4 linked regions of the Drosophila melanogaster genome follow. The protein of the gene in region 2 interacts with the protein of the main gene of each other region in a pairwise test. Each region holds a gene or a part of one and is shown on either strand. Other genes may lie near its edges. The genes, in order: CG7065, CG12811, CG3386 and CG18731.

Region 1 (7,888 bases), on a different chromosome or scaffold from region 2:
CATCTCCATCAAAGTTAATGCGAAATATCATTTGCATTCGCAGCGCGCAGATAGATCACCAAATGGGATGTCAACCAGCAGCTGTGTGCCCGATTTGCCATATTTCGCTGTCAAAAAAATAAAAAAAAAAAAAGAACAAGGGGCAATTAAGCACGAGCACGCATGCATTTCGAATGAACTATGCACTTACTGCGAATTTAAAGTCTACTTTTAGACAGCTTTTGAATAATTGGTATCATCTATCAAGCGGCATTTAATCAGATGCTTCAAAAACGTTTGTTCGAAACTGGCACATGTTCGAAATCAACCACTGAAGTGTTTCCACCCGTAATTCGATCTGGTGAATAAAATCAAATCGCCTGAATTGTTTATGTACATATGCCCACTTCAAGGGTAGCTCAACTACTGACCAAAAAAGAGAAAAAATAAAAGAAAAGTCGAACAAACGAGCCATAACTCATGTCGGCATGTTCATTAAATGTGCTACGTTTGTCCAATGCCTACTACTTGCCACATCCCACTCCCAATCCCACTACTCGTCCTCATCCTCATCCTCATCCTCGTCCTTGGCTACATCCGCATCCACATGAAGCGCAACTTCGCCCACTGTCAAATGCACCGGGGCGGCCTTCAAAAATGGGGTGGCATATACTCACACTCGCATTCGCATTCGTATTTTATTGTCTATGTGCGCATATGGTCAGCTCATTGTGCAGTCAGTTGTATTGCCATTATCATCTGCGACAGCCATATCAGTGTGCTCATCGTGCGGCGATTAATGCGCCCTTCATCCACTCCCAGGATACGTGTTACATCTATCACACATATCGCGCACAGTGCGGCCTCGCTAGAGCGGAAATTGCCAGCCATCTGGTAAGAAATTCATGGAAAGAAATTCTAGCTACATACAGGTGCTCAGTAGAAGTATGCAAGCATATACGCTAGAATTCCCTGACTTCACATTAGGGTGGTTCCACTGCACAGCCCAGGGCGGTTGGGATGTGGGCTCGGTTCGTGGAAATCGCTGAAAATGTGAAAAACCGCGTCCCGTTCGCTGACATTTGTCCTCGGCGGCCGGCAAACCGGCAAACTGCACATGTGGCCAATCCCTTGGGACCCAATGATATTAATGCTCCCGCTTCAGCTGGAAAATACCTACATACATACATACATACAGTGAATAAAAAATAATGAACGGGAGCTGGGATTGATTTAAGCCAGCTGCGGCGACGCCATCAGAAACACATCCAACATTGAACATCCCACATCGCAGAACCAATCCATAGAAGTCCATCATTCTTGCGGCGGAGGCGAGAACAATTTGCACTCGGCCGGAGATTATGTTTCGGGTGAAAGATAATGACTCCGCATATCCACACATGTAAATATTTATGGGCTCATGAGCAGAAACACAAGAAGTGTGTGTGTTTTTTTTTTTATTTTTTGCCCAAATGACGAAAGCATGTTTTCCATGTCACACTGAAGTTAGAAAATATAAGCAAATATTCGAAATAAAAATCCATTAAATATTAACGAAATATATCCCTAACCCTAAAGGCTTTAAATTTGATTATAAAATAAAAATTCTAAACGAAATCAATATTTTACCATTACCAAAATAAGATTATTTGAATCCCGCATTGAAAAAAAAAAATTTTGGCCTTATTTGCCTTATTAAATCCACAATAGAACTAAGGACAAACCACTTTCAGTTGGAAACAGTTATTTGGAATTTTATACCATTTTTAATATTTTGAATGCAACCAAACGGAAATTGGTATAAAAAATGTGAAAGCGCGTTTAGAGCCATATTTCCATTACAGCGCTCTGAAAAAAAACAACAATACTCTATGTATGGATGTAAATATTCTGTTAATAATCATAAAAAAGAATTGGTTTTTTTTTTGTTTCACTTTTAAAAGTGCTGGCAAACAATCGATATATTCAGCTATCGTTGGCGTTGTTATCGCCCGAACGACGGACGGTCACACTGGAAAGCTGGAAAAAGAAAAGAAAATTGTCAAAAAGGCTTCGACTTGGACTCAATTTTCGTAACAAGTGATCAACGAAGCTGGTGGATGTCAAAGACGTAGATAAATAATCTAAATTACCTAACGCAGCCATAGTAAGTAACGATAAGCACGCGGGCATAAGCCGCCCCCTTTTGTCGATAAGTGAACGCGAATGCGAAACATTCGTGTGCGCAAAAAAGTGAACAAGAAAATTGGAAAATCAGAAGGCTTCGCTTTGATACGGAAATAAAGTGAGAGACAGACCAAGGTAAGTACTGATCCTAGACCATTTTCGTTCATTGGCGTTCTCTTCTTTTGGCCTGATGCCCATACCCATCTGCAGGAAACGATGAGCTTCCTGCCGGGCGAGCCGGTACCGCCCGGTTTCGAGGAGGACGTGTCCCGCACGGCGGTCATTCAAAAGCAGATCGAGAGCTACACAGCCGGACCACTGATCGGCACCGAATACACCATCGAGCTGCACGAGCCGGCCCAACTGCGTCCGAATTACTTCTGTGTGCTCTGCCAAACGTGCTCGGATGGACGCAACGTCTTTGTGCACTGGACATCGCAGGCGCACCGCACCAAGTACCTGCAAACCCATTTCCAGAAGGCCTACAAGGAGCTGCAAAAGCTAAAGCGCACGCCCAACAGCTCTGGGGATCTGGTGACTGCCACTGGGAATTTGGTCAAGTGCATTGAGAAGCATTTCGGCAGGTCACGCAATCTAATAACTGCAACTGGTGATGATTTTCGCCGTTATCGCTCCAAAATGTGCAGTCAGGTGCGGGATAGCTTTCATTTCGATGAGTGTGCCGGATCAGATTTTTCCGAAGAAGCTCAGCGCGTGATCCGCGAACTCAAACCGGATGAGTCCATCAAGAGCAGCATGAAGAAGAACGTCGACGGAACCGGGGATAGCAACAAGCAGCATGATGATGGAAATATAATTGCCTTGGATGCCATATCCAGTGATGATGAGAGCTTTGGCGGTTCAACAGCTTCGGTTGTCCCGGTGCCAAAGGGGCGACAGAAGAATAATCTGTCGGAAGATGCCGGCGGGCGTAGTAAAAATCAATCGCCACCACCTGCAGGTGGCGTGAACAAAACGCAGCATTTGCCCACGCCCAAGGAGCTGGCCATTCAGGCATCTAAAATTTCCCAGGAGCGCTACAAGTGGGAGAAGTTCCGTTGCATGCTGGAAATACAGCTCAAGCAGCTGCGCAGTGATACAGAGATGTACGAATCAAATCCCGAGAAACATCCCGATTATCCGGATGAGTGGAAACAGTTCTGGAATCGACGCTACAAGCAGCTGCAGGAGGAGAAGAAATGCGATCCGAATCAATACGACTATAAGCCGGAGTGGATTAGCTACTGGAAAGATCGTCGCATCGTACTGTTCGACATTGCGGTGAATAAAATAAAGAAAGATCTCAAAGAGAAGTTCAAGCTGGGCGACGAGGACGAAGAGAAGACCTTGGAGCTAATGGAGCGCTACAAGATCCGTGTGGCCAGTCCGCGTAGAGCGCCTGCCACCACCAATTCCGACAATTGTCGCAAAACGAAGCCGAATTTTCGCAACAATCGTCCGATTGTTGCGACAAGCAAACTACCCGACGCCGTCATCGATATCAGCGATGATGATGTTGATAGTCCTCCATCTCGTAGTCGTCACTCCCACAAACGCCGCTCCATCTCTCGTTCGTTGTCCCCCAAGCGCGGCGGACGTCGTGCCGTGCGTCGCTCACGCAGTCGTTCGCCGCGTCGCAGCTATAATCGAGGATCTACGCGCTCGCGTTCGCGCAGCATGCGACACCGGTCTCGCTCGCCGGCCCACTATCGTGGCCGCGGTCGTGGTCGTGAACCAGCATCCAAAGAGCGCGGCTCGTCGTCCAGGGATTTCGGTGGTCGTCACAGTTTGCAGCGTGAGCGCGAACGCTCTTCCGAGTACTATCACCGCAACGAGGGCTATGCTCGATCATCGCGCGGCTATGAGTCTGTGGAGACGTTCCGCGTGCTGGATTCCCGCGTATATCCCGAGTACAAAGTGACCAAGACGAGCTCGATTTCGCCCACCGCTTCGTCCAACAAGGAGAAGGAGAAGGAGGCATCGGAGCCCATTGAGGAGGGACCACTGACTGTCGTTAGTGTCTTGCGCATGCTGTCCGCCGTCGAGGAGCATCTGGGCAGCCTGGGACCCAAGGCGCTCAATTTGCTTAGCAAGGCACTGGCCATGGAGTTGGTAAAGCCAAATGCAGCTGAAGATTTGCTGCGAAACGAAGACAACTGTGTGTTCCTCGAGACCACAAAGGAGAAGCTTAAGGGCATTCTCATTGCCGAGGTACTGGACGATCCGCAAAAGGTGCGCGTGATCAAGAAACTAATCACGAACATAGCCGAAATCATCTATCAGGCGACCTTCAAAGGTAAGTCCACCACCAAACCCGCTCAATCCGTATCCGTCTCTCTCGCTCTTTTTCGCGGTCGCGGTTAGAAATCAGGAGGTAAGTAAACCAAACAAATCAAATCAAAAAAAGGGTTACCCATCGGAACAATCGTTCGTTTTTCGCGCGTTTTCAACGGCTTTTTATGCAAAGTTGCAGAGTTTATTGTGAGTTTTGTGCCATTCGGTGGAATACCTTTAGATTCTTCATTCGAAATATTTCTATTCTCCTTTTTCGAAAGGAACCTTTTTTATGTGCTGGTGATAAAGAAATATATACATATGTACATTAGATACTCCCCACTTTAGTCTACTAAACTCTGCGGTTAAACATTTAGTTACGTTTTAAGTTTAGCACCTTATGAAATAAAGAATCTTTGACTTTGGCTGTTGTATGAATTGGGATCACAATCTCATTTCACATTTCTTCTTTCTCACTAAAACATAAACGAAATCTTCTGAGCGAGTATTTTTGAAATAATACAAAATAGCGCTGTGTTTTATTACCATTTTAAACAATATTATAAGTATACATATATATATATAAAGCGTGTTCTGAATTGCTGGTCTTGTCTCTGCAATTCGTAGGATTTTTCGAATTTAAGAAACCTATTTTTAAGACCTTTACTTTGGGTTCAAAAAGGGTTAAATTGATATTAAAAAGACCTGCTTGCAATGAGAAACATAAATGGTCATAAGGTCTTCCTTCTATGTTGTATTTATGATAATATAGTAATTATATCGTATATTTGGATAGACTCTTTGGTCGAATCGCTGGTGATATCGTTCCTAATCGTTTTTCGGTAAGCTTTCCCTTATTTTTGCTGGGTGTGTGAATCAAGTGTAAAGAAACCAACCGTGAGCTGTCCAATCGCCATCCACACCATCCATAAGTATAAATGTAATTTGCGTAGCTTCGTGCGATAACGATCCTCCATCTGCCGGGATCTGAAACAGAAACACACTCTCACCTGTTAATCCTAACTGATTGATTTCTTTGTGTTGTTCCCTCCCCAAACCACCCGTAACCGGATGATCTCTAGGTACCAACGATGCCGTCGATGTCAAGGTTAAGGCAAATGCCAATCCGGCGCCCATACAGCTGCCCTTCGATCGCAATTTGGTGGCGCCCAAATTGGCCAATGCTTTGGTACTCAACGGCTACAATAATGTGTCCACCGGCGATATGAACAACTTGCTACACATGCTAACGCTGCTGATGAAGACGGACAAACAGCGGCGCCAGCTGGACAACAACAACGGCCTGAAATTCGAGGAGATAAAGGTAAAGCTCGGACTGCAAAATAATCCGTCGCCCGATGACATGGGCATCGATCTGGACGAGCTGATGAAGGAGGTGGAGCATCAGCTGCACAAGGAGTCCGTCGATATTGTGAATAAACCTACGGGAGCACCGGCCAAGGTACAAGCCGCCGATACAGTCGGTGGCAGCACTGGCTTGGAATCGCTAACAGATTCAGATCTCCAGACCCTACTCCAGAACTTTAAGTTTTTGTCGAACGAGGAGCAGGTTCATCTCATTGGCCATCTGCGCAAGTTGGAGGTACAGGATCCGTCGCGCGTCGATCGTCTGCGCAAGTATGTGAATCTGGTGGAGCTCCGAGGCGATGGCGAGTCCTGCAGTGATTTCCTGGCGCGCGTGGTGAAAATTGGTGGGGCTAGCAAGGCGAAACCGGCTACCAAGTTCAAGGCTTCGGTTATGGGTGGTAGAACCTCCTCCGCCATGGCCGCCAGCTCCGCCAGTGCCACGGCTCCGAAAGTGGGTCACTCCATGCTGAGCGCTCAGCGCCCCAATTTGGATCGTGATATGTCCAGTATGCCCATCAATAAGCAGAGACGCGGCCGGAACACGCCCAGTATCATGCTCGATGACGATGACGAGGAAGATGATGATTACAACTTTGATGATTTGGTGATGAAGGCCTGCGATTCGAATGGAAGTGCTAGTGCTGGTGGTGGTGGTGGTGTCGTTGGTGCTGGTGTACACAATAAGCCAGGAGTGCCGCCCATTATAGGCGTTGAATCATCGCCAAATGCGCTCACTTTCAAGCCAGCAGCAGCGACCAAGATTTCGCTAAAAGACACCGAGAACATCATAGCCAATCTAATGGGCACTTTAAGCAAGAATGGCACTTCTGGAGGTTCACCCGTGGGTGGCAATCGCAACTATATGATGAACCAGCAGCATGGAGCGCCAAATGCGCAGAATGCACCGAATTTGGGTCAGAATCCAGGCCAAAATCTTGGCCAAAAGCAGCCCGGAGCGGGCTATTCCAATGCGGGCTATCCAGGGCAACAGCAGCAGCAGCAGCAGCAGCAGCAGCATGGCCGCAACTTTGGCCAGGAGGCACAGCCACTGATGAGCGGCTTGAGCGGCGGACCGAATGCCAATCACTATCCAAATCAGCAGGGCTACGGCGGCTATCATCCGTTTGCGGGCAATGGCGTGCAGCAGAACTACGGCGGCATGGTGCCACCAGGTCCAGGTGGCTACGTGGGTCCGCCCCCTAATCCGTGGGCCAGCAATGTGCCGCCACAGCCGCCCTTCAACCAGATGCCCCAGAACTTTATGGGTGCCCAGCAGCAGCAGCAGCAGCAGCAGCCGCACTTTAACAACATGTTCGGTGGACGTCACTAGAGTGTCGTAGACTTAGATATCCATACTATTAACGTTATGCAATTTAAACGTAATGTAGAAACGAGAATAACGCCCTTTGAAGTGCCCGTGTATCTGCTAGCTGGCAAGTGATTTTTATTATTTTTTTTTTTACCATACATGTGTGCTGCTGCCAAAAAAAAGAAAAGAAAATAATCACTACCTTCATTTGTTTATAAAACACCGAACAACAATAGAATTCAGAAAACATAAATCTGAAGAGCACGTGAATAAACATACACAATAATTCCGGAAATCAACTTTAATCGACTTTCGTTTGGAATTATTAGCTGGGGGAGCTTTGAGTTCTGAATTCTGTGTATTGAAATAAAAATAAACGAAATGGAACGTACAAGTGACAAATAATAAAATAAAATAAAATATGTATAGCTACATATGATGTTCTTCAATGGTGATTTGATTATTATTATTTGATTTATACATTAAACAACTGATTTTTAAGTTTATTCCTCTCAAAAACAACAAATTTAAACTTCGAAACCAAAACTAATCGTACATAAATGAATAAGCGAATGCAAAGCATTTATACCAGAAGCTAAGCTTCACAGCTCCAGGGAAGTATAAGTATATACCTTTGCTCATCCGCAGCAGCAGCAGTTCCATGTATATCGAGTGACCACTGTGCCAACAGATGAAGAACAATAAATATATCAAAATCGAACGTTTCAACCGACTTTTTATGGAGGAGAATTTAAACTAATCACGGAATTAACTACAGTAGGGCAGGCGTAG
Region 2 (3,894 bases):
ATTTAGAGTAGGTAACACAATCAAATCATCTGGGGTTATTTTTATAAATTCAATTATTATTTGTGTAGAAAGTGGGTTCCCGGCTGTGGACCTCGGCTTATCATTAATCCGAAGTCCTCCGAGTCCGTAACACCCATCTATCCAGATGAATTGCCCAAGAAACTACCACAGTACTCGTGCCAGAGTACTACAATGAGCACCAGAAACTACTATCCCGGCATCAACATCTACACACAGTTCGGAGATCTCCTGCCCAGTCAGATTCTGACGCTATTTAGTCAGTTTCGTCAGTGGCCGGAGTACGGCGAGAGCTCTTTCCTCGCCTCGCTGGAAAATGCGCTGCTCAAGCTGGAGACTGCCAATGACGAACCAAACCTAGAGGATGGCGTCACGTTGCCAGAAGAGGATGATGCCGAAGCAGATGAAATTATCGAAGAAGAAAGCCCTGTACCCGCCACCACTCCCGTCAAGAGGCGCAGGAAAGCCAGTTCTTAGTTGTACATAATAGCGTTTTGCTTGTGCAAGAAAAATAAAGAATTGCCTTCATTTTGAGAAATGGTATGTAATCATATTATATCTGTCTTAAACATGGAACAAATTCGCTATTCTTCACTGGCCTCCACACATTACCAAACAGAACACAATACATTTAAGCACATAATGTTAAAATCCTTTAAGGACACTTTCCCTGAGCCATTAGGCGACTGCCGCGTGCGCATTTCTCGGCCAAATCAACGTAGTATTCCGGCGGAGCCTGCTCCGTGTCCGAAATACGCGTCTCCAGTTGAACGGACAGCTTCACACAGTCCACCATCAAGTTGGTGGGATTCACGCCAAGTACAAAGGAAGCCTCCTGGTAAGGACACGGGTTTTCTTCCTTCTTGGTGTTTCCGAACTCATAGCATGTGTCGCGAATCATAAAGTGTCCGTCCCTGTTACATGGATTTCGTACGCACTTCGGGATGATCTCCTCCTTGTAGAGCACCAGAATCTGTCCAGCCTCACAGGGTCCCTGTCGGTAGGCCGGATAGCAGCCATCGGTCTCCGGGTAATACAGTGTGGCTATCGAAGGGGAAGTACCCATACGGAGATTATTATGTCATCGCCATGGTAGCTCCATTATGACCGCTCACCTGGCGCGCAGTCGCAAACCCAGTCGTTCTGCTTCTGCTGGTCCCCCGGATAAAGAAGCTGGTGCTTGGGGCATCGGGCTGGCGAATACAGTGGCTTGCGACCCTGTTGATGAGGAGAAAGCGGAGGGGTGTGAGGCAGGAATTCGATTGATTATTGCCAATGGGGCTTGCATACACTACCAAAACAGTCCCCGTATTTTGAAATTCACTTCAAACACACACTTTAGAAGTTTAAAGGTTTGAAACTCTCAAAGTCACCACAGTGATAAAATAAATGTATTTCTTATTTTTAACAAAAAAAAAAATTTTTCAATCACGTTCAACAGTATCCATACAATTAAAAGTCTGTTATTATAATTATTTAACTAGAACCTTAAGCTAGTTTTAAAATCAAAGCAATCATGAAATGTTTTTGAACATTGGTCACTACACAAAATTCCTAATTGGACTCCAACGACTTTCACTTCTGATTGGGAAGGGTATTCGGCGAAAGATGTTGCCCAGTTCCGGCTGGGTTTTCTCTTCCATTTTGGCGTTTCTTATCACAAATGTGGATTGTGTCTGGCTGCAGCTTACCGCAAGGTTGGCCTTCTTCTTATCAATGTCTTGATCCTCAACAAAGGCGATTTGAGCGTGTGCCACTTTCCCAATAAACGCAATAAGCGCGGCGATCAGCAAAAGTTGGGGATTGATCATTGTCCGTATAATCACTTGTTCATGTGATACTCACGGCAATTCAAACAAGTATGAGGCTGGCCAATCTTGACTTAATCTTAATCAATGGGAAACGAAGATCTTCGATAACGATAACGATCTTAGTTGGGTCCAGTTATGTTATTGTTTTACGTTTTCTCGGAAATATTCCAATATTCCAATTGGAAGTTTAGTGCGAATAACCAGAAAAGCAGAACAAAGTGAAATTAAAACATAGTCCAATAAGGGCCAGTTCCAATTGATATTGCTCTCCCGATTACATCCGCTCTTGCTAGTGATGCTCAATACTCAATCAATGCTCAGCTGTTTCTATCGATGAGTTGAAAAAAATAACTTTCTGATCATATAAATTTAAGCCAAGAGAAAAGGGAAAAACTTAAAAAAAATATCTGCACACTTACGTTTGCTTTTGAAATATTGGATTAAGAACTCCTTGTTAAGTAATGCTTAGTTATATTGTCTTCCTATGAGTTGTGGACTACCAAATTACTAAGTGTATCAGAAATTAAAATTGAAAATCGAATAATTTGTTATATAGAACGATAAGCATTACGAGTCTATTTTGGCGCCCAACTACCGAACATTTTCAAAATGTTGCCATTATTGGTTAGCACTGGTTAGCCAATCGCTAACTATCGAAAAGCTCCCATCTCTTATTTTCCTTTGTCAAAATAAAAACCAAATAAATATATATAAAATTCACCTGCAAAACGAAGCAACAAAAGACACTGTACGGCTCAAATGGACGAAGAGGAGAACTCAGGTGGGTGTGGCAGCATCATAGCACTCGCCAAATGTTCCCAATAACATATGTTCATCATATGAAACTGCGCAGAAATCAATTCTGTGCAAGCACGGGATGAAGATGTGCAATTGGAGGACCAACAGTCACAGGGGCTCCAGGATCGGCAGGTAGACGTGATAGAACAGGCTTGGAACAATGCAATGCCAGACGAGCCGTCACCGCCGGCAGAAGATGCCTTCCAAGATCCACTGGCCACCGATGGTGAGGGAGGGGATGCACTTGAGGCCATGGTAGAGAACGTTTTGCAGGACGACACAGCAAGCGAGGGCAGTCATCCCAGCAGTGACATGTCTCTGGAAAGTCCAGGAAGTGAAGGTTAGTTGGCTTACAATCGTTGTGCTGCACATTCCTACTTAACCCGCGTTTTCCATCCTTTCCAGATGATTCCGATCTGGAGAGCCTGCCCCATTGGATGATTCCGCAGAACCGACTGCGCTCCGCCGTAGACATGATGGTCTCGCAAGCCCGCAATCGGGATGGTGGAATCGCTGCACTGCTCAGTGGGGACAACTTCCTACAGCGAGTGCGTAGCATGGTCTTTAGCCAGGAGCGACGGCGCAGTCGCACAAGCGAGGAAACGAGCCAGGAGGCTGCCGAGCAGCCCGTTGATCCACCGCCACAGCAGCCACCTCGACCACCAATCGACATTGGCTTTGACACCAATCTGCCAGCGGAGCATTCATACTTCGGTAATCATTTGAGTCGCGTGCCCGGAGTGGACTACTTGGAGGTGGGCAGCGTCCATCACATGCTCATCTTCTTGCACCAGCACATCCTCTTTCCCGGCGAGGTGCTTCCCTTCATGATCGACGGCCGAATGTTTGACGAGGATATGCCCGGTCTGGACGGTCTGATCTTCGGTGTAAGCTTCCCGCGTTTGCAGCCGCCGGAGGACAACCCACACAAGTTGTATGGGGTCACGTGTCAGATCTACGAAAGGGGCGAAAGCGGCCGAGGATTGGTGTTCTACAAATCACGAGCACTGCAGCGCATTGTCATCAACTGCGATGATATAAAAGGGTGAGTCTTGACTATACGGATCACCTTAAATTCTCCATGATTAATCCCATATCTTTTCAGGTCACCGCAGTACATTGCTCGCAATCCAACTAGCAAATGCTTCAGCAAAGTCAAAATATTGCCCGAGTATTTCCTGCCCGAACCGCTCCAAACTGTTGACATGGGCTCGATGGCCAGATTTCGGGATATACCCTCGATGCGCGACAAGTATCGCAGGTTCCA
Region 3 (4,148 bases), on a different chromosome or scaffold from region 2:
GCTCGAAGAAGTCTAAGCGGAATGTAGAATGTAGCCAAATATAGAACACCTACCACAGATCGCATTAGTTTCTTTCTTTCCTACGATATTTACTCCTTCAAAATCGATGCGCAAATGGTTTTTAAGGACCAGCGCCTGCGCAGCACTTGACCAAATTCAGGTAACGGCGAATCTTATTTTATCCACTTCAACCACATACGATAGAAAATATTAGGGGAGAGATGTGTGCGTGACAATTAGATAGTGGATTGTACATCCGATAGCTCAGGTAAACAACAACCAAACATACCTAAAACTTAAACAACTCTTTAATTTAACGTAAAAATAATCGATGACATTTTATGAGCGAGTTCCGAGAAAACGTTTAATAAATTATTACCCCATTGGGTGTTCGTGTTCGCACAACATAAGACTCTCATCTCTACATTTTATGAGTGAAACATTCGTTTGAGTGAAAGTCGATTTCCAACCCTGTTATGATTTGGCGGGAAACTTAAATACTTGGATGAAATTTTTTGTATAAAGAGACATTTCATATTTTGTATTTGTAGTACTTAAATTCTAGTTTTCTAGTTTGCAATGCCTCGTTCATCGTTATTATGGCCTGAGTGATTTCGAACTTTCTTTAGAGCCGTATGCTTAGTTCTGTTTTTTTGAAGACTTCAATGAGATGTTCATTAAATCGTAGAGTGACAAATGCAGGAATATCAAATGACGTAATAGTAGAAGTCAAGGGTTTAGAAATGATTTGCCACGGTGCTCTGTTGTTCGCCGCGGTTTACTCGCAGGTTGCCCATGCATCCCTCAAACAGGATGTCTGCGATGGCCTTTCGTGCCAGAATCCGTTGCGTGGGGGACATTTCCTCGTACTGGATAGCCCAGGATCTGGCCAGAACTTCGGAGGACTCGCTGAGTTGCATGGGTGCAGTTCCTCGTTCGTTCTCGGGATCTGTTTGAATCGAGGATGTGGGTTCTTTCGTTTCCAATGAATTTCCCAAACTATTTTCCTCTTTGACTTCACACTGCCCTTCTTCCGGCTCTATGATCTCCAATTTTGGACTGAGCAGGGAACCCTCTTCGGATTGCGGGGCGGTCGGTTCGGACTGGTAGTTGAAAGCGTTATCATCCTTGATCGGCCAATCACAAACGCTTTCCGTGTTGAGATCTGGATTTTTCAAGGGGTATTTGTCCTATGAGGTACACAATTTATTTATTTTTAAGTATCATTCAATCATTGAGAATGTAATCTTACATCCTTTTCCCTGCGAAAATCTTGCTTCTGTCTGCCGCCCCGACCTTTTCTGGTCCTGTGCTGGAAGGTCTCCTGGGTGAGGAGAAATCCCATGTAGTCGTAGAACCAGAGCGTCGGCTTACAGAGATCGGAGTGCAGCCCCAGCTCCTTCTGCTTGAGGATTCGCATCTGCTCCCGCCTGTAATTGGTGCGAAATATGTTGATGCGCCTGCCGACTTCTGTGCGCGTAGCGTTCGGCTGTATCTCCCGTAGTTTCCTCTCCAGCAACTCATACGCCCGGTTTCGCAGCTCCTTGTTCCGGTAATTGAGGTGGTGGACGTCCCACAGCTCCGGCATTCCCTGATAAAGGGCCAGAAACTCGCGCCAGAACTGCCGTTTGCCCGCACTAAACCGATCTGGCAGTGCAGCTGCCATCTGCCAGCACAGCATTCAGAAAGATACATTTAATTACCATATCCATTGGCATATAAACATAAATATTTACTTTTTCTGTTGTTCAAGCCAATCAGCTGTTGTTGATTACAGTTGGCCAGAGTTGCCACTTCTAGCGTCTAGTGTTGGTAAACACCTCACATACTCCCACTGATTGTTGTAGTTGCTCTGGATCTGGATGCTCATATATGTATAAACTTATTTCCACCACCTGACGACCGGCGTTATGCTCTCCTCAAGCGACAATCACAAACTGAATTGATGTAGAGCCGAAACGGGCGGGTGTGTGTGCATGTGTCTCGATTGAGTGATTGATTAGCCGACTGACCCGATGGGCATGTGCATGTGTGCGTGTGGAAATGCACAATAAATCATTTGATTCCCACATACTGCTTGAAAACAAAAACGTAGCTGAATCCGATTTTCTTATTGTATTAGTTTTAATTATATGGATTAAACAATGACTTACAGCTCCCCCGCAATTTAGGTGCACGTGTGTGCGGGAGAGGAAAGCAGCAAATATTCAGACTTTAACTAAGGGCAGACCTGCGCACTTACCCATCTTAGCCCCAATCAAGATTGTCGGCATAAGGAAATCATCAGCAAAGTATGAATTTATTTTAACTCGCTCTCCAAAATTTCACACTGATCAGGGAAAATTTTAAAATACACTCTGAATCAGGGAAATTCTCTCTTTAACAAGATAGAATTCAATGATTGACCTCTTTGTTCCGTTATTTTCATTTACATGCGCTTTGTCTCTTTCTCTCTTCTGGCTCGCCTGTGTGTGTGTGTGTGGGTGACCTCCCGCCCGGCAAAAAAAGAAGAAGAAGCCCAACTAAGGGCAGACATGCGCACTTCGAAAAAAAAACAATTAGCGCGTATATTTAGCCGACTTTTTGTTCTGGCGAGAATGTGTGGAAGGAAATGTAGCTGTTATAACATACAACACAGGTCAAAATAATAGGGTTACAGTCGGGAGCATAGTATAAAATAGTTCCAACAGACCAATTGACAATTGACATTAGCTCATTCATCACAATATTTTATAACCACATCAAATTTACTCACTAGAAACTTGGTTTGATTGCGTTTATTTGGTTCGAATACAAATTATGTTCACCTTAGATCTAATGATTGATTGCATCCGACCGATGTGCATCTTCTAGATGCATCAGTTTGCAAAGATTACACTCTTTGGCTGCAGCTATTCCTCCTCCTCTTCGTTCTCCTTCATGTGGCGCTCACTGTTTGGAGCATTCTACGGCACATTGTCATCCATTTCGCGCATCACTTCATCGGCTCGTGTGATCAGCTCAATCAGCCGGTAGTTCTCCTTGTACAGAGCAAACTCCTCGAGTAGCTTTAGGTACTTGCGTGCATCGGCGCAGCTGATGACACTGGACCCACTTTCTTGGCCGGATCCCCCATTGTTGTTATCGTCTTGGGCGGACTCATAGCGACGTTTGGTGCCCTGGCGAGGATTCAGCGAGTTTTCAACTGCCGCAGGCGAACTCACCTTTCGCTGCCGCATCTGCTCGATGTACTCCATCTCGTCCTCCACATTGGCCGCCAGAACCTCGGCCAGCGAGGTGACACTGGAGCGACCATTGTTCGCGTCTTCATCGAGATCCGCTGGGTCTTGGTCCAGTTCCGATTCCAGCTCAGCCTCTGGCTCCACTTTTATGTGCACTGTAGGCGGAATTTCAAGATCCTTTTCCCTTTGTGCTCGGTCATCGTTCTCCTGGAGCTCCGCCTCGGGCTGCTTCGCCAGGAGCTCTTCCGGGTCCTTGGGCTCCACTTTGATTTCCTTTTCCTGCTTGATCTCTAGTTTGGGCGGCGGTACCACCGGTCCTTTGTCCTGCTGCTGTGGGGCAGGAATCTTGGTGATGCTCTGAGCGAGCGTGGCTAGTGGTATGATGGTCATGGTCATGGGCTGTCCGCCCGCTTGCGTCGGAACAATGGGTGTGGCCAGGAGAACTTTTTGAGTGGTGCCTGGCGGTGTGTTAGCTTGGAGGGGCAGTCTAACTAGAGGCGGCAAGGGCTTCAGAGCCCTGGCAAAATTTAGTTCGCTTAGTGAGGGCTTGACATCAGGCTCCTCCTCCAGATCATCCTCGCCGCTAATACCGCCACCGTCGACATCCACCTCGTCATCCTCGTCTTCTACATAGCTGCGGGGATGGCTGCTCACCGGGCTGCCCAAGCTGACCTCTTCGTCATCCTCCTCGCCGTTCCGTGGCCCACTTTCCGGCATGCTTTCCGACATGACGTCCTTGACGATGTCCTTGATCTGCACCGAGTAGCCCTGCGTGTAGCCTATCTTCAACAGTCTGGTGTCGCTGTGTTGGATGCTGTAGGTGCGTCTGAACTTGTCGCACCACTCCTGGTGCGGAAAGAAATGTGCCAGGTTCATGGAGCTCTTGAACTGCAGCGCCATCTTCTGGATGAGTCCGTCGGAGATGCT
Region 4 (2,855 bases), about 20 Mb from region 2:
CTCTTTTTTTCCGTTTGCGTTAATTGGATTTGCGGAATTTAGCCAAATATATTGGACCAAACACACACCACACACACACAGGGATAACCATCGACCTCCGTTAATGGCGTAAATGGTATAAGCCAGTCGCAGGTTTTTTTTTCTATTTTTTTTTTTTTTTCGTTGTTGCCACGGCCTAAAACCTGTTCTTCTGCCCAATCATCCAGGCCTAAACCGAGCGAATTTCACGACTAATCGTGCCGTTTTAGGACTTTCTGATCTGTTGATCTATGTTTTGATTAACTTATTTGCTTGGCTGCTTACTTTTCACAGTCACTGGAGCAATTGCATTACAATTGCTTTTTCTGCGCTTTTAACAACTTTTTTCGACCACCTTACCATCCACCAAGCAGTGTGACCACACCGCGCATTGACCGTTAAAATGTCAGGCTCAGAAAAATACACCTCGCGGTTGAAAAATATACCGCAAACGTACTTTGAGCTGAAGTTCTAGCCGGGACTCGAACCACAGTGCAGTGGGCCTAAAGTGAATATTCTCAAGATTGTGGAGTTTTTAGGTTTTACTTGTTACCCGCTCGTGCATTCAACAATAGTTTAAGATAAGGTAGCTTAATGATAGATTAACATTTAAGGGCTTCTTTGACCAGTGCCTGCTGCTTTTGGATGTCCGTTCTCAGTTTATCCGCGTTATTTTCCAGCTTCGCATAGCATTCTTTTAACTGATTTCGTTGGGTCTCCAGATCTCCCACGGTGGCCGACAGTTTCTTCACCTTCTGATCGTACTCGTCGAACATCTGCCACCATGTTGAAAGGGGAAGATTCTCTGGTTCAGTCATGAAAGCGTGCTCCAAGTCCAAGTTGTCTGTAGATCCGCTTATCGTAGGCTGATTGACCTCGAACGTTTCCATGTCCGCCAGCATTTCCTCTACACTGGGAGCCGTGGGTGGAGGCTCTACTTTGGGCCTGGACTTCCTAAACATCGTCTGTTTCCTTGAAACTACAATTTAGAGAACTGGAAACGTCAGCACTTGTTGAATTGGGGATTCAATATGTGGGGTTACCTGATGTATCGAGTCTCGTAGTCTTAGTGATATTAAGGTTAATTATCGTACTAACAATTTAGTCTAAAACCCGTATATAAGCCGTAAAATGGAATTCAATAAATTTTCTGCAATTGTTTACAAAACAGTGGTAAATAATGAAGTGGCCAGTAATTATTATTTCAAAAATACCAATTAAAGTTAATCTGTGTAATCGATAGCAGTCTCTATATAAGCAATAATAGTTTGTTTACCACTGTGTGCCATCCCTAATTTGCGCGGCATATTTTTAGTCGAATTGCCATTTTTACAAAATTTTAAGCAAACAATGCGGAATCAGGACGATCTAAGTCAGGGCGCCAAACAGAGATTTGTGGAGACGGCTGCCAGGGCCAAGAATCCCCTCGAATCTCTGAGCTACCAAAGCTACAAAGCCCCCAGCGGAGAGGAATTCAAACTCATCTGCCGAGCGAAGTCGGATGCGGACTCCAAACTGCTGAAATGGGCCTTTAAGCTGGCCGAGACGAACGTGGGACCCTATTACAAGCAACTCAAGATGGGCTGGCAGCCCAAGATCAAAGCCGCCGAGCTGAACAAGAACTGGGCTCGCTACTTGGTGGCCCAGAACGAAAAGAAGGAGAACGTGGCCTACGCAATGTTCCGCTTCGACATGGATCACGGGGACTGTGTCCTGTATTGGTGGGTATTCCATAAGTAAAGCCCTTATGCATTAATTACGTAGAACTTCCTTTCAGTTACGAAATGCAAGTGGCTGCAGAGTATCGTAGAAAAGGCCTGGGAAAGTTCATCATGAGCACTTTGGAGGACTGCGCTCGCCTGTGGCATCTGGAAAAGGTCATGCTGACCGTTCTCAACAACAACGAAGCCTCCATTTCCTTCTTCAAGCAACTGGGCTACGTCAAGGACGAGATCTCGCCAGATGTCCTGGAACAAGCCGACTACCAAATCTTTAGCAAATCGATGCTAAGCTGAGTATTTATTGGACACCGAAGATTATAGATATTTAGCAACTAGTATAACAATGCGTTTATTTCAACAAATTGGCCGTGGTCTCCAAGTGCGTGGCCATGCGAATGTCCTGCGAACTGAGACCGCCCACGTCGTGCGTGGACAGGGTCACGTCCACCTTGTTGTAGCAGTTGAACCACTCGGGATGGTGGTTGATCTTCTCGGCCAGCAATGCCACGCCCGTCATGAAGCTGAAGGCCTGGTTGAAGTCCTTCAGCACGAACTGCTTGAAGATGGCGTCGCGCCCCTCCACCAAAGTCCAGCCGGCGTCCAGGAGGGGCTGCAGCTTCTCGGCGCGTTCCTGTTCGTTTAGTCGTACCTAAAGGGCAGCGAGCAACAAGTATGTGAGTGTTATTGATTCATACGATATATATACAAAATAATTTGTGAGCGAAAAACCTCCATTTCTGGCCAAAATCACAGTGATTCTATTTGTTAGGGCATAAAGCACTTTCCGAAAGTCCAAACCTGTCCTTGGGTGGTCGATTGATTTCAGTTGGAGGCGATAAGGGAACCACTCGATTTCGCTGAGACTCCGTTCACCTTGATCTCAAACTCACTTTCGGCTCGTACTTACCACCATTTTGCGCTTTTTCGCTGTGATTGCGGTTGCTGTTGCTTCTGTGGTTGGGGTGTTGTGGATTCTCCGGAGATTCGCACTGCCACCAGTTGCTGCCCGTGCTGCTTCTCTCGCTGCTGGCGAATACAGAACTGAGATTTGCGACAGGCTGCGCGAAAAATAAAGCTCAGATTTAAGTTTGGTATTTTTGCCCCTCCCTCCCCTTC

Evidence for each region.
Region 1: the proteins of CG12811 (region 2) and CG7065 interact in a two-hybrid assay, tested with the Drosophila melanogaster proteins (one large-scale study listed by BioGRID).
Region 3: the proteins of CG12811 (region 2) and CG3386 interact in a two-hybrid assay, tested with the Drosophila melanogaster proteins (one large-scale study listed by BioGRID).
Region 4: the proteins of CG12811 (region 2) and CG18731 interact in a two-hybrid assay, tested with the Drosophila melanogaster proteins (one large-scale study listed by BioGRID).

Annotation. Positions count from the first base shown.
Region 1 is NC_004354.4:9,140,507-9,148,394, forward strand, and holds CG7065 (uncharacterized protein), read left to right. Parts: upstream 1-1,986; 5' UTR 1,987-2,280; intron 2,281-2,355; 5' UTR 2,356-2,361; coding exon 2,362-4,441; intron 4,442-5,501; coding exon 5,502-7,117; 3' UTR 7,118-7,388; downstream 7,389-7,888. Other genes in the region: fh (frataxin), read right to left, coding at 7,865-7,888.
Region 2 is NT_033777.3:10,046,708-10,050,601, forward strand, and holds CG12811 (uncharacterized protein), read right to left. Parts: upstream 2,091-3,894; 5' UTR 1,830-2,090; coding exon 1,710-1,829; intron 1,237-1,709; coding exon 1,134-1,236; intron 1,063-1,133; coding exon 674-1,062; 3' UTR 545-673; downstream 1-544. Other genes in the region: mtTFB2 (mitochondrial transcription factor B2), read left to right, coding at 1-7, 69-495; ohgt (ohgata), read left to right, coding at 2,589-2,610, 2,683-2,967, 3,033-3,672, 3,733-3,894.
Region 3 is NT_037436.4:680,121-684,268, forward strand, and holds CG3386 (uncharacterized protein), read right to left. Parts: upstream 2,351-4,148; 5' UTR 2,243-2,350; intron 2,200-2,242; exon of another isoform or gene 2,154-2,199; intron 2,074-2,153; 5' UTR 1,737-2,073; intron 1,667-1,736; coding exon 1,253-1,666; intron 1,191-1,252; coding exon 738-1,190; 3' UTR 542-737; downstream 1-541. Other genes in the region: ebd1 (earthbound 1), read right to left, coding at 2,946-4,148.
Region 4 is NT_033777.3:29,723,380-29,726,234, reverse strand, and holds CG18731 (uncharacterized protein), read right to left. Parts: upstream 1,209-2,855; 5' UTR 1,062-1,208; intron 1,013-1,061; exon of another isoform or gene 998-1,012; 5' UTR 981-997; coding exon 621-980; 3' UTR 545-620; downstream 1-544. Other genes in the region: Naa40 (N(alpha)-acetyltransferase 40), read left to right, coding at 1,369-1,739, 1,796-2,033; Pcd (pterin-4a-carbinolamine dehydratase), read right to left, coding at 2,089-2,388, 2,647-2,797.